Linked DNA regions of Rhinolophus ferrumequinum. The protein of the gene in region 2 purifies or fractionates together with the protein of the main gene of each other region. This does not show direct contact. Links are inferred from orthologs where the notes say so. Each region holds a gene or a part of one and is shown on either strand. Other genes may lie near its edges.

The links. Proteins that work in one complex are often made in the same cells at the same time.
Region 1: the proteins of KIF5B (region 2) and KLC1 purify together in Homo sapiens (co-immunoprecipitation; 11 studies listed by BioGRID and IntAct, counting the BioPlex papers as one, with this or other methods). This does not show direct contact. The link is inferred for Rhinolophus ferrumequinum from reciprocal best matches to the Homo sapiens genes KIF5B and KLC1.

The regions. Positions count from the first base shown.
Region 1 is NC_046289.1:1,653,337-1,661,127, forward strand, and holds the start of KLC1 (kinesin light chain 1), read right to left. Parts: upstream 3,061-7,791; 5' UTR 2,975-3,060; intron 2,502-2,974; exon of another isoform or gene 2,305-2,501; intron 1-2,304. UniProt on the Homo sapiens protein: Kinesin is a microtubule-associated force-producing protein that may play a role in organelle transport. The light chain may function in coupling of cargo to the heavy chain or in the modulation of its ATPase activity.
Region 2 is NC_046288.1:3,502,552-3,509,474, reverse strand, and holds the start of KIF5B (kinesin-1 heavy chain), read left to right. Parts: upstream 1-3,822; 5' UTR 3,823-4,294; coding exon 4,295-4,420; intron 4,421-6,923. UniProt on the Homo sapiens protein: Microtubule-dependent motor required for normal distribution of mitochondria and lysosomes. Can induce formation of neurite-like membrane protrusions in non-neuronal cells in a ZFYVE27-dependent manner.

The DNA of each region.
Region 1 (7,791 bases), on a different chromosome or scaffold from region 2:
ACCCTTCCATCTACCCAGCCCCAAATCAAGGGCACTAATCCATCTGTTCTGGTCCTACTGGCACTACCCTAACTCAGAAGCTCTCCGTCCTCACTTGGGGTTAATGCTTTCCTAGCTAGTCTCCTCTCAGTTCAAAGCACCTGCCGCACCACCCGGCTCTTTCCGAAACGCCACGGGACTCCTTACGAGAATCCCCCGTCCTCCTTCCTCCGCGCAGGACGCAGGGACGCCCCAGGCAAACTCTCACAGCCTTTCCGATCTCCTCTTCCCCCTCTCCCCCCACCCAGCAGGCCCCTCCACGCAGCACCACCGTCCTCCGGAGCCACTACTTCCAACCCCACCCGTCATTTGGCCAATTTGTATTTTTCTTCCCATCTCACATTCGGAATCTGTCCTCAGGGCACTCGGCACCAGCTAACCTAACCTGCGGCATTCCTCCACTTCCGGCCTCCCTCCACACTGTGAGCTCCTAAAGGAGCGACTGTCTCTATCTCCATATCACCAGCTACTAATTAGCACATCACCTGCCATTCAGTTGGGTCTCTACAGACCATGTTTAAGACCATGTTTTCACAATCTTAATATGCTAACCATCTGACATTTAACACTTTCCTGTACTTTCATTTACGATGTTACTAACACTTCTTTATTACATAAAGTTCCGGTTTCTTACCATATTCCGCGTGTTTTCCGATTATACAAATCCTACATTTTATTGAACCTTTTACTTTTCTATTTCTGGTATTCTTTGTACACCATTATTTTGAGACAGTTTATAGCCCCACATGAAAAGCTACATATTGACTTACCTGTTTTTCACATATGAAACACGCTTAAGAACGTACAATTTTTAAGTCACCGTGGGCAAGGTTTTATTTACTGTGGCATAGTGAAGATATTACGTGCCCCTCCCCACCCCCCCAGTGGCATTTCCTTGCTGGAGACAATCACTGTCCTGACTCCCATGCTTATCCTTTTCCCTTTACCAGGTCCACGGTGCTTTGGGAAGACACTGCCAGGCAAGGGGAGGTCACCGGCCAGGGTCTTCCACAGCCCTGGGGAACACAGGGCAAAGGGCGCCAGGCCCACTGCAACATGAGGCTGCACTTAGACGGTGGCAGGAACCGGCTCTTCAGAGCACCTGCCCTCCCACGTGTACTAGTTCCCCACAATCTGAAATTTGCAATGCTTAGTATCATTGTATTCTTAGATACTTAGGACTCAGAACAATGAATCAATTTTCCCACTCCGACCTTGTTGCCAGTCCCTGAAATAGGTAAATCCAGAACTGTAATAAGATTGTGAGACTTGAGGATGTCGTTCCAATTTCCCGATGGGTTTCTCACTGAACTGTTACAATGTATTTTGAGGTAATGACTCTGATCGATGGCTAAAGGAAAAAGCCCTGGGTCCGTGCAGAGAGTCAAAGAACCAACTGCCCTTTTACACAACATTTTAAAAGGTTTATGTCAAATTTTCTGTTGTTCACACACTTTTAAAAAATGACTTTTGCAAGTACTCCTTATCAAACGCTTAATATGTAGTCTTAATGAGCTGTTTGAAGAACGAAACAGCAATAAGCAACACCACAAAATTTCTAAGAAAACTACCTGGATCTACAAAGTTCAAGTTATGAGGCCATGCAATCCACCAGGCGTTAATTTTACCTTTTTAATGCTTTATTTTAATATTTTTAAGGAAAGAGCTGCACCAAATCTGACCACCGCCTAACTATTCCAGGACCGGGCTACTGCAAGTTTAGCAGGAGCCCCGCGGGCCCGGGTGAACACCGTGGATGAACCGTTTCGCGTCTGCCTAGTGAACGCAAGGGTCGCGGAGCAGGAGAGGTTCCGCCGGCCTCTCCGGGGAACCCCGCACGCCTCCTACCCGCCGGGTCGCGCGTCGCCCGCGAGCTTGACAGGCGCGTCCGCCCAGGGCGGCGCCGCCGGAGAGGGCGGCGGCCGGAAGGAAGAGGGAGGATTCGGACAAAGCGAAGCCCAGCGGGCGCCCCTCCCGGCGCCCCCGCTCCGCCGCGCCGCGTTCCCGGGGGCGGCCACAGCCCCCCGCGCGGCTCCGGAGCCGCAGCTGTTCCCGGAACGGCCACCACGCCCGCAGCGGGGCCGAGCCAGGGATGCTGGGGCGGGGCTGCGGGACCTCAGAGGGATGGGGACGAGGCGGACCCGGGCCTGGAGGGACGGCGGCTGGGGACGGGGATGGAAAGGAATGCACGCGGACGGGGACGGGGCCCGCGGCGGAAAGCGGCCCGAGGGGACACGGCTGAGGCCCGAGGCCCGCCGCACTCACCGTGCTGCTCCCGCGGGCCGCGCGCTCGCGCTGTCAGCACCGGAGGCCACGGGCGCGTGCGCGGACCGGGAGAGCGCGGGGTGCGCTGCCTCGGCCGCCTCAGGCGCGGCGCCGCGGTCACGAGCGAGGGGCGCCGGCGCTGCCGCCCCGCAGCATCCTCGGCCGCCCGCGCGCGCTGTCCCCTCGGCTCCCTCGCGCAGCAGCCGTCCCGCGCCCCGCCGGCTCTGGCCCCGCCGCCGAAAATGGCGTCTCGGCGTCCCTCCCCCAGCTCGCGCCCCGCCCCACAATGCCGCGCGCCGCCGTGACGTCACCCGGCCCGCCGCCGCGGGTGGGCAGAGGGGCGAGGCGCCGGTCGGTGGCGGCCTCCCCTCGAGGGGGAAGGACTGCGGCGGGAGCACGGGCCGGCCCTGCCTCCCCTGCGCGGCCGCTCCCGCTCTCACAGCTCGGGAATAACGTGCGCTGTGTGCCGAGCCCTGTCTTCACGCGTCCTGTGCCCCTTTGAGTCTTTCCAGAACGCCGGGAGGGCTTCCTCCCGCCCTCTAAGGAAGGATCCCGAGGGGCTCGGCAAAGCCCAGGGGCCCCTCTCCCTCCTCCAAGAGCCTGGCCCCCCAGAATCAAAGCTCTGCGGACTTCCCAGGCCCTCCCCTCAGCACGAGGGCATGAACTGCACCTCAGGCGGGTAGGAGGGGAAGGGACGGCCGCCTGACCGCTGGTGCCTGGCCGAGCAGAGATGCCACCCACTGCTGTCCCACCCGACAGCAGCCATCGCCAGTGGCCACGACCTCCCGCCCGGCCTGAAGGGCAGTGCTTCCAGGTCAGAGAGCGCTGCCGGGCCTCATCCTGCTGCCGCCAGCTCTGCAGGCCTGACTCAGCAGCCAGCCAGGGGGACGTGCTGATTCAGTGGGCAGGGCTCAGCTTTCTTTGGCTGCCCCAGCTTGGGAGAACCCCCTCCTCCAGGTGCCTGCCGAGGTCTTCAGTGCAGGGCCCCACGGCATTATTAACCAGAGGGGTTCCTGAGCCAGTCCGCCACCCCCGACTTCCTTTTGAACGACTGTCCTCTTCAGATGTTATCACCCCGCACCCGCAGCAGGTTTAACCCTGCCATTACGCAGTGACCGGGAAGTAAGCACCGGGAGGTCCAGTTACTTTGCTTTCATTTAAAAATGCAAAGGTCTGCGAAAAAGGGAAGCTCTGCGGTGACACAGCGTTACTGGGCCCAGGGAGAGGCAGTGAATCAGAGTCAGCCCCTCCACACTCCCTTAGTGATCCCGCCACACCCCAGTTTGGATGTCACCTGCTCCCCACAACCACCTGGAGGCTGCGCACAGCAGCTGTCACCAAAGTGCTCTGGGGAAGAGCAGAGCGGGCTGCACGAGGCTCCTTTCTGCCTCTGTGACTCTGGGCTCAGCAACTGTCCCCAAGCTATTAAATTGGTGCAAAAGTAATTGCGGTTTTTGCAAATTCTTCTTTAACCTTTTTAACCACAGTTGTACTTTTGCACCCATGGGTGGCCAAGAGTCTACCTCACTAATATTGCTTTAGCCCACGCCGTCTGTCCCCATTGCTGCCACTCTATTTAGGCTTTATCTGGCTCTCTTATCCTCTCAACAAGTATTTATTTGTTGAGCTGCAGTGGTCCCCACGCTAAGAGCCAAGATTCGTTGGTAAACGGGCTAGTGAGATTCCTGCTCCTGCAGTGCCATGCAGAGAATGAAGGTAAGATGAAGTGACAGACGAGGCCAGGTGGACAGGGTGTGAACTGACAGCACTCCAGACACAACTCTCCAGGCAGGGGTGAGTCTGGAGAATTGGGGGAAACAAAGGCCAATTCATCCACTCTCTTCCGCCCCTCCGGGACCTGGAAACGCTGCCGTGTACCCATCCCCAGGTCTCACAGAGTCTAGCAAACGCCCACTCCAGCCGCCCGCCCGTGCTGCCCTGTGTGTCCTCAGTCACTTTCAGTCCTCTGATACTCACAGCAGCTCCAACAGCGGCACCACCATCCCCATTTCACAGATGCTGCCACTGAGGCCCTGCAAGTGCCAGGCTGCTTCCTGAGTCCCAGAGAGGGATCAACTCAGCTTTAGGTATCAAAATGCAGCATGGGTCAGGTGCTGAGGGGGAAGCTGTCGTCCCTCAGGGATCAGAGGACTCATGGAAGAGGGACAATCACACGGCAGGTGGGAGGGACCTGGGTAGGAAGTGCAGGAAGAAAAGCGCAGTGCCCCCACAAGGACGGAACAAACCACAGTCTCATTCGTCTCAAGTGGCAAGTGGAGGGATGCTGTCACTTGTTTAAAGCAGTCACCTTTTTACTGTCAATGTCCGTGGATGCGTTAGGGGCAGCCCTGTGGGAGACAAGGATGCTGGAATTTCCCTTGCATGCCGGGGGTGGGGGGTGGGGGGAGTGGTCTGCAGTCCAGTGGGTGGCCCCAGTCATGAGTTCCTGAAGAAGAGGGGAGGGGGGGAAGGGGAAAAGCAAGGGGGAGGAGGAAGGGAGGAGAGAAGCTAGGTCTGGTGCCTGCAGAACGCTTGCCCCTCCCAAACCCTCTCCCTCCCCCAGCCTGGGCACTGACCGGCCTGCCAAGGCTCACCAATGAGTGGCAGCTGCTCTGGGCCCAGAGAGGAGCCTGGCTTTAGGGCCAGTCTGGGCTCCTCCTGCCTCGCTCTGCACTGCAAGTCATGCCCTGTTTGGTATCTTGCTTCAGTTCTGAAAATGGCATTTATCAGAGGTCCAGGGTGAGCTGCCATCATTAAGCTCCACTGACTGCTCCCTCAGACAAAGGGGAAACAGCACCCCTCTGAGGTGGAAGAGGGGGGATGAGGAAGTGGGAGAGCTCCAGGGAGAAGCCCAGCCCTCCCTGTCTCTCTCACACATTTCTAGCTGCAGGGAATTGAGGCCTGGGTCCTGCTTGGTGAAGCTGGGCTCCAGCAGGACTGGCCAGAGTCCCCTGCATTCCTGCCTAGCCCCGCCCACAGGCCCACTGGGCCAGCCTGATCCCCAGACACAGCTGGGGCAGGCTGTCCAGTTCCAGGCTTCAACTGTAAGAGGGCCTGGAAGCTTTCCCTTTTGTGCTTCTGGGACCCCTGAGCTGCCATGTAAGAAGGCCAGCTCCTTGATGGAGAGCCCCGCCTTCCAGTGTCCCCTGGGGGCACCAGGCCTGAAGGAAGCCATCTTGAAGGGTCCAGCCCAGGTCACAGAGCCATCTGTGGACCCAGGATGTCTCCAGATGAGGACTGAGCTCAAGGGCAGGCAGGGAGGGACTGCAGTCTCTGCTGTAAAAAGAGCCATCTGGCTGTGTGTGTGTTTTGTACATTTAACACGGCGTGTTGAGCTCCAAATGTGGCCCTGGACCAGAGCCAGCTGCTAGGGATGGTACTACTCCCAGTGCCCAGGAGAATATTTCTTACTTCACGTCCTTGCAAGGAACCATGACATGTGTTAGAAAAAGTGCAGAGACTGGACCTGTTCCTGCGGTTATCTAAGCAGGGTGTGCCAGGAGCGGGGTGGGGGGGGGGGTGACAGCATCTGTGACTGAAACCATGTCAGTGTGGCTTGATAAACACTATGATGGAGATAAACAATGGGACCTGGGGGCCAGGTCTCAGGGACATGTCAGGGAAATCTGGTCTTCTGCATTGGAGATTTCCTCCCCCTCAATATTTTATTATGAAAACATTCAAACATACAGAAAAAAGTTGTGCAGTGAACACCCATGTACCCCCCTGAGACTCTGCAATGAATATTTTGCCCTATTTGCTTTATCACTTGTCTCTCCATTTCTCCAACCCTTTTTCTATCCACGAATCCATCTTTTTCTTTTCTCTACTTTTCTTTTCTTTTGGATGCATTTCAGAGTAAGTTGCAAACATCAGTCAGGTATCCCCAACCCTCCCCAGGGTACAATGAACTTACTTGCATCCAGTGCAGCAGGCGGGAGGTGAGAGAGGGTGAGAGTCAGCAAGGGGGCAGGGAATGAGGAGCCAGGGCAAGGAGAGTGTGAAACCAGGAGTGGGGAAGGGGACTTAAAGTGGCTGCATCAGATGCCATTTGAATGGACAGCTGGATGCATGGATGGATGGGAAGCTCCCAAGTAACCCCTCGTGGTGGGGTGGGGGGGGAGGTGTGTGTGCGGGCAGGTTGGTGGTAGGTGGCCAGGGGCATTTGTGCAGGAGTGGGGAGGGCATGCATGCATGCAGGGTCCTCACCATCAGCAATCGCCTGGCAGTGCAGGAGCCCCACTCTGGACCCTGCTCCAGCACATTGGGGACTCCAGGCTGCAGAGGGAGATTAGATGGGGGCGGGGGGTCACAACTCAGGTGGGCTGCTCAGACCCCATCATAGGGCTATGTTCCTGCCCCCATTACCCCCCATATACTGAAGCTCTGCACACACGTCACCCTTTCACCCCTAAACACTTTTAGCATGCGTATCACTAACGGAGTTGAGTATTTGTTTCTAGGGAAAACGTACGCAATGTGAAATGCACAGTTAGGCTACCATGGATGAGTCCTGACAAACACTTCCCCTTGTGTAACTACACCCCTGCAGCACGCTGGGCCCTGTGGCCACAGCACGTTGGCCACCCCTGATTCTCACCTGAGCCAGCCAATCCCAGAAGGGGGTGGACTTGTTCAAGGACAAGCTATGGGGCACCTGAGAACAGCAGATGGAGAGCTTCTTCCGGTTTTTACACAAAAATAGCCACGCAGGTGCCAGGTCTGTCCCACAGCAGCACAGGTTTCTCCTGGCCCCCGGCTGCAAGCCCCTCTATGGACAGGAGCCTGTCTGACGCCTGACCTCACGTCCCCAGGAGCTCCCTCCACAGAGCGTGACCTCCTCCGGCCTCCTACCACTTTCTCCAAGGTTGTTGGCTCCATCCAGTCAGGCCAGACTCCTGTCACAACTGCTCTGAGCCTTTGGGGGCACAGACCCCCCTTAATTCCTGTGGTATCTTCTGCCCCTCCTTGTTCCCACAGACCCCAAACCTGACTCAGGTTCTTGAATATGGTGGTTCTCAGTCAACGGAGGCTAAACTGAATGAATGAGTGAATGAATGAGGGAGGAAACCGTGGACACCCAGCTGCTGGATTTCACAGGTCCAGAAGGAATTCTGGTCTTCATCCGCCTACCCCTCCTAATTCTGCCTGCAGTGCCCGAACACTCCTGGATCCTGCCATGGTGGGGGCTCCATGTCCTGGGGCCTTCTTACCTTTGCCTCTGGCTGGCATGCTCAGACCTCAGCCTGGCTCCCTGTGTACCATGTTTCTCCAAAAATAAGACCTAACTGGAAAATAAGCCCTAGCATGATTTTTCAGGATGACATCCCCTGAACATAAGCCCTAATGCGTCTTTTGGAGCAAAAATTAAGACCCGATCTTATTTTTGGGGAAACACCGGTAGGAGCAGAAATGCCTGCTTGGTTCCACATATCACATCTTTGTACCTCATTGTCTAGAAGAAAGAGCCTCTCACCTCCCACCGTC
Region 2 (6,923 bases):
AAGCCTACCAAAGTGCCTTGAGCAGCAGGGGTTCCCAGAGCTTCACTCACATCCACCTCCTTTCTCTCCCCACACCCATGACATCTCCTGAGTCACCTCTTTCAAACCTCTGCTCCATGGAGTAGAATTTGAAAATCCATCATTCCTCAGATCTTATGAGTTGGGGAACAAACGAGAATGGTGGGGTGGAAGCTGAGAAATTCAAATGCAGACAACCATGTTTCTCTTTTGCATGTATAGGGGATGCAGGAAATAGTGGAGTTACAGGTGATTGTAACTTTTTTAGTCCGGGAGTATGAAAGAAGGCTGATTCTGATCATCAAAACGAGAAAGTTGAGTAGAGGAATTAAGCATTGGTAGGGAATAGGGGATAATTAATTTCATCTCTAAAATGCTAAATTTGAGGTTAAGGTTATCGATGTAAGAAATCCAAACCTGTGGAGAAGTTTTGTAATTTATTTGAGCCAAGCTGATGACATATGCCCGGGGAACAAGATCTCAAATGTTCCAGAGAATAACAGTTTTGCAGCTTCTTTTATGTGTTTGGAATTAAGGACAGGATGTAAGGAAGACTGGAGAAAGCAAGGCAAGAATTGGATTATAGGATATTTAACAAGATTATGTACATTTGGGTGTTAATATCCCCTTTGAGGGATATTACTTCTGGTATTTCAAAGGTATGTTAACTTAGATGTACAAGAATAGACAGGGCTGGCTTAAAAACTTTCACTACATAAGTTATGGGCCTGGGGCAGCTGGTTGGCTCAGTTGGTTAGAGTGCAGTGCTCTTAACACCCAGGTGGCCTGTTTGATTCCCACATGGGCCAGTGAGCTGTGCCCTCCACAACTAGATTGAAAACGACAACTTGACTTGGATCTGATGGGTCCTGGAAAAAACCACACTGTTCCCCAATATTCCCCAATCAAAAAAAATAAATAAATAAGAAAGGTTATAGGCCTGGGGCATGACTACCCACCATGAGCTGCCCAGTTAGGATTTTATGATCAGATCCCCTTGTGAGGTTACTTTCCATAGAACCCCTTTTTCCCCATCCACAGGTAGAGCATCGTAAACGAGGTGGCCTATAAGCAGCTGGAGAGATGGGAGCGTCACACAAGTGAAAAGGTCAGAGTTGTAGATAAGAGATTCCAGCAATTGTTGAAGTGAGTTCGGAGAGAAAAGAGCAGAGGGCTGAGGGCAGAGCCTTCCTGAGATCCTGCTGCAGAGGTTGAAAATTGGTGGCTACATGCCACAGTCTCCTTCTTTGTGTGACTACTGCTTCCTTACTCACTGAAAGCTTTGTTTTCTAAAATCATGGACTATCAAAAAACTTTGAAATTATATCAGTAAGAATAAAACATCCCACACTTGCCTGGAGCCTCTAAATCAGGGGTGTAGAAACTTTTTTCGTTGTTTTTCACCAAGGGCCGTATGCAGTAAAATACACAAACAGCCGGGCCACTCACTCGAGGTGAAGTACGTATTGCCTCACCTGGTTTATTTAAGTAAACTAAATATATTTTTGGAATTTGCTGCGGGCCAATTAACAATGGATTGCAGACCGCAGTTCGCCCGCGGGCCACAGTTTTGACACCCCTGATCTAAATCATACAAAAGCAACCTTGATTGATTTTCAAGCTGGGTGCAGAGCTTCAGGATGGGTTTCTGAAGACAACATTTCCTATCTACCTTAACTTTGTAGTTCCCAAGGAAACAGGACCTTCAGGCCACTTGTAGTCCAGACCTGATGTCCCAGCTCTGCTTTGTTTGGAGTCTATTGTTAAAAACCAAAATTCACCGAAGTAAATTTGAAGATCTAATTGGCTTTATTAAGCAATTCACGAATCGGGCAGCATCGCATTTAGCAACTGAAAGGGAGGGCGCTCAGATGAGTTGTACAAAATGGAAGGTTTTTATAGAAAGAAGGGTGGGGCAAGGGAGCTATTAGTGAAAGAAAAGAAAGGATTAGTTTTGGGCCAAGACATCTTTTCCTTGGGGAAAGAAAAGGGGAAAGGTTTTTATTGTGTACATTGTCTCTTCTTTCTATGGGGAATGGAGAGGGTCTATGTGACAGATTATCTTACTGGTATTTGACCAGAAAATTCCATACTGGTAGATTAAGATTATGTTTCTGGGAGTGGTTGAAACTTCAATTCGATCAGGTGTTAAATCTAGGTTTGGTGTCCTGGGCTTTTAGCACTAGTGACACCATTTTAACTCTATGTTATGGAGCAAGGGCTCACTGCCCAACACGCAAAGAAGTCAATACTATGGCACTAGATGTTGAGAAAAGAAAAAAAAAAAAAGCTTTATTGTAAGGTCGACATGCAAGAAGACAGGAGGCAGAACTCAAATCTGTCTCCTTGACCCAGGGTTCACAGCAATATTTAAGGGGTTGAGAGAAACAGACTGGTGTACAGAGAAGCTCTGGTGGGGCAAGTTTGAACTGGAGAACTTTGGAACTTGGCCATTTATGCTAAGATATGGTAAGGGGCGTCAGCACTGGATCTTCTTGGATAATGGGCTCTTTACTTCTGAAAGGGTTCCGGTGTTCCGGTTCCAGTCATGTCTGGTCCTTTGGTTCTGTGAGGGGTCGGGTGAAACTTTGGTTTCAGGTGTTACTGGTCAAAATTCTCTCCTCTGCGTATGCTTGGCGGCATGACTTGCAGTTTTGTTGTATTGTCGGTGAGAAACGACTCAGCATCTTGTTAGGAACAGGATAAGGCCAGTTTGAGCTGTTCTGCAGTTATACTTGTGGTTTTTTTGTTTAACACTATCAAATCACAGCTTCATTGAAATTTTACCTAAACTCCACACTTCACCCAAAGCCATTACATGTATCTTTTTCTTTGGGGAGATGCCCCACAGTTCCTCTGGTGTGAGCTCTCCTTCACTGCAGTGAATCAATAAATCTGAATCCTGAAAGATTCATTTCTGGAGGTTTTAGGATGGTTGGGCAAGGAAAGAGGGCATTGGAGGTTTCCATAGTCCAATCCTTCCTTTTACAAACTGGTAACCAGAGGAAGGATTCCTAATTATCTTGCAGTTCTCCTTCCACAGCACTTAAGAGCGACTTCCATGTGAAGAGCCATTATAGTATCCATCTTCTAAAAATAGGAGGCAAAATCAACTGTGGAGTGGTTTTCCTTCGATATGTAATCCACAAATTTATCCAGGCTCTTTGAAAGCATCTTTACATCCTAGGTCAATCATTCCTCTGGTGTTGAGACTGATGATTTTCATACGTGTATTACAGATTGATTGTAATACAGATTGAGGGCCTTCTCCTACCTCACCCTATTTTTCTACATTTCTTCAGCAACCTTCTTCATTCCTTAGAAGAAATTTCCTTTTTCTTTCATATTCCTGTCTCCCCAACCCACTCTCTCAAGAAGGAGCAACTGCTTGAAGCAGAGAGCCATGTCCCAACACCCTCATTCAAATCTTCCTTTTTCTGTCAAAGCGCTCTAAAAAGGCGGGCTGGGAATCAGTTATCTCCAGACCAAACAGAAAGCAAACACTTCCCTATTGGAATATAGTATTTTATTTAAACAAACGACAACATAGTTTTAACAAATCCATTGTCCCCTACAGAAAAGAAAGCTAAGTGCATCTGCCTTGGGGAATTCTGCGGCGGGACAGTAGTGGGAACAGTGGCCAGATGACCAAAGGTACTTTTTGCATTGGAGCCGCCTCTGTAACTTGATTCTGCTACCGAGCGGCGGAGAGCGGCGGCGGGGAGGCGGCACAGCCCGGCGCGGGCGCGGGCACGGATTGGTCGCTGGGGCGGCCGGGCCTCCGCGCCTGCGCTGTGCTCCTCACGCACCGCCCATCCCACCGCCCATCCCACCGCCCGGTCGCGGGTCTGCGGCCTTAGGAGTGACCGGGTGGCAGCCGGGTAGCCGGCTAGCAGATAGCTGGGCTGGGAGACGGTGGGCCCAGCCTGCTTTGTCTAAGGGAGAAGGAGGCCGCACTCCGGGTCTTCAGAATCCCTCCAGACCCGGCAGCCTGCCTAGGCCGGAGAGTCAGAATCCGAGGAGCCGCGGACGCTCCACCCGGTGCCGCCGCCGCCATGGCTGCCATGATGGATCGGAAGTGAGCCTCAGGGCGACGGCTGCCGGCTCCCGCTCTTCGAGTCCCGGTTTCCCGGCTGCCGCCGCCGGGAGAAGCGCGACGCAGCGGACTGCTGATTGTCTCGGCCTTCGCGACCCTATACCCTCAGTTCCGGTCCGCTTCCTCCCAGACTGAGCGGCGGGGAGTGGCTCCCGGCCTCCGGCCCCGGCAACGAGAAAGATGGCGGACCCGGCCGAGTGCAACATCAAAGTGATGTGTCGCTTCAGACCTCTCAACGAGTCCGAAGTGAACCGCGGCGATAAATACATCGCCAAGTTTCAGGGAGAAGACACGGTCATGATCGCGGTAAGTGACCTCCACTCCCTCCCCCAGTACCGCCCCTTCAGCCCTGGCTGGGCTGGAGTTCAGGGAAGTGGCGGTGTGCAGAATGTAGAGGGAGCAGTGGTGTCCCCAATCCTTCCGAGTGGAGTTTCCCGGTTCGGACAACCCAGGGCAGGGAGACTGCGCGGCTCCGCGTTTGTTCCTGGATCGCCCCCACCCAGATCCTCGGTGCCGGGAGACCGGAGGCGCCTGGTCTAAGTCTGGGACACTCCCCCGCCTGGGGCGCTGGAGAAACTGGGGAGCAAGTTTAGTGTATATTTGCCTGTGTTTGTGTGTGTGTGTGTGTGTGTGTGCGTGTGCGCGCAGTTACTGTTGCTGATGGCTGTTGGGGTTTTGGACTACCCCCAATTTACCATTCATAAAATATGTAAGATTAAAGTTCAGCTAGGAACGTTGAGCTATGAGATCAGCCCTATTGTATCTTAAATAGTAAAAATACTTAGATTTGTAGCAACATATAGCTACGAGTTGAACCATATTGTTTAACCCCGAGGCAGGAGAGAAAGCTACCCAACTACAGATATACCTGTACCTCAAATGTTTACCCATCTGCTTTTTGTTAACAACTGAAAAAGATTAATAGAGGACTATACGAGTAAAAAGAAATAGTGAGGTTTTTTTTTGAAATCGCAGTAACACACTCTTAACTAGGTTTTATCGGGTAACAGTCTGGGTAAAAAAAGTTAATTTTTTGTGTGTATATCAGACAGTATTATAAAAGCAAGCTTTTAAAAACAGATAAAATTTAACCAGTAAAACTAGATTTCTTGTTAGTATTAGATTTCTGCTTCTACAACTAACGTCTACCTTGAAAAAGTTGATTTTAGTAATCCTGAGAATAGTGAGATGTTGTCCTTTTGAAGTATAAAACATAAGATAATCAGAGTTGGCTGAATCATTGTCAGGGAGACCAGAATGTAAAGTTGTTGTGGTTTTTTTTTTTTTTTTTTTTTTTTTGCGTTCAAGAAGATTAAAATGGGTATTAAGATACTGCATACAGAACAGTGAACTGTAACTAAAATTAAGTCTTTGTTGGTAATGCTGTGCGGCAGAACTTTTTTCTACATTGCTATCATGACATGAAATTTTAATATTAAGTTTTTTTAGTGGCATTCCATATTTAGCATATTATTTGGACAGTTTAATTTGGAAATAGGACAGGGGTCACAGGAGATGGGACAGTGATAATTAAAAGCATTGCCATATCAGACAGGACTAAAGTTCTTTAGAGTTTTTATGTGAAAGTTTCCAAAGTTCAGGTCTAGAAAATGAATGTTGCTCCATGTTGCTTGTTAGGCTCTTGACAAACAAGCCATTAGGTTACTAACAACTGCTAGCTACTGCTGTGTGAAGACTGTCAAGCTGGTTCTTTGTTAACAAGTCCACAAGAAAATAATCCTGCTGTAAATGACATCATAGGGAGGCCAAGAAGTTAAGCACAGAAGTAGTGATTCCTTTTCCTTTCAGATAATACAGGAGTATTTTACGTGGAATCAGAGGAGGCTTGTAAGGCCTGGGTTGTAAGTTGGCAAACGCGAGGCTACTAGTTTCTCAGAGTTTTTGTGATTCCTCAGTCTCAACAGTGGTTGACACATGAAAGCTGTTTTCCTTAGACTTGTATTAAGAATGTCTTAATTCTCCAAAAAATTTTTTTTGTGTTTACTCAAATCTTAAAGAATTACCAAGATGCATTTTTATAATGCTGGAATTTAGGATTCACAAAATGTGTTAAGATTAGGTTAGAAGACAACCTTCTGATACCGCCCAAATATGACATAAAATACAAGGAAAGAGTGAAAAGAAAACAATTGCCACAGGAAGCACATTTGTGCTAGGTTGTTTCCTTTGGATAAAGTTATAAGTTTCTTATGTTTCCTTAGTAATGTAAATAAATTTAAATGATAATATTAGAAATGATAGATGACTGAGCTGTGAATCAGCGATGAACAGTTAAGTTGGCCTTTATGTAAACTGGCAAGCGTTTTAGTCTTTTTTTAAAAATGTATAAGCAAAAATACATTACAAATGAGTGACAAAGCCTTAAGACATGTAAGGCAACATGTTCAGTTCATTATTTTCAGGAACTAATCTTTTGCATATAGTAAGTCATTAATTACTCTGAGGTCTCATTTTTGTTCAGTTTTTAAATGAATTATTTTACTTTTCAAAGGTTGTTTGGGAATTTGTAAGGGCTGCTGGGAGAAGTGAAATTAGAACGTCACTAGGTAAAATCTTCATGGTTTATTTGTTTTACTGGATCTTGATCCTGATTCAAAATAAAGAGTTTAAGAAGGAATTACAATACAGAATTTGAAACTGAATTATTTTAAATGTTTGTACACAGTCTTGTAGTTAAATCGAAATTTAAAGAGTAAGTTTTTGTTTTTGGCTTTTATTGATTTATAAGTATAATCAGTGCTCACATAGAAAGTAATTTTTAAGGATTCTGATATTCATCTAAGTTCAG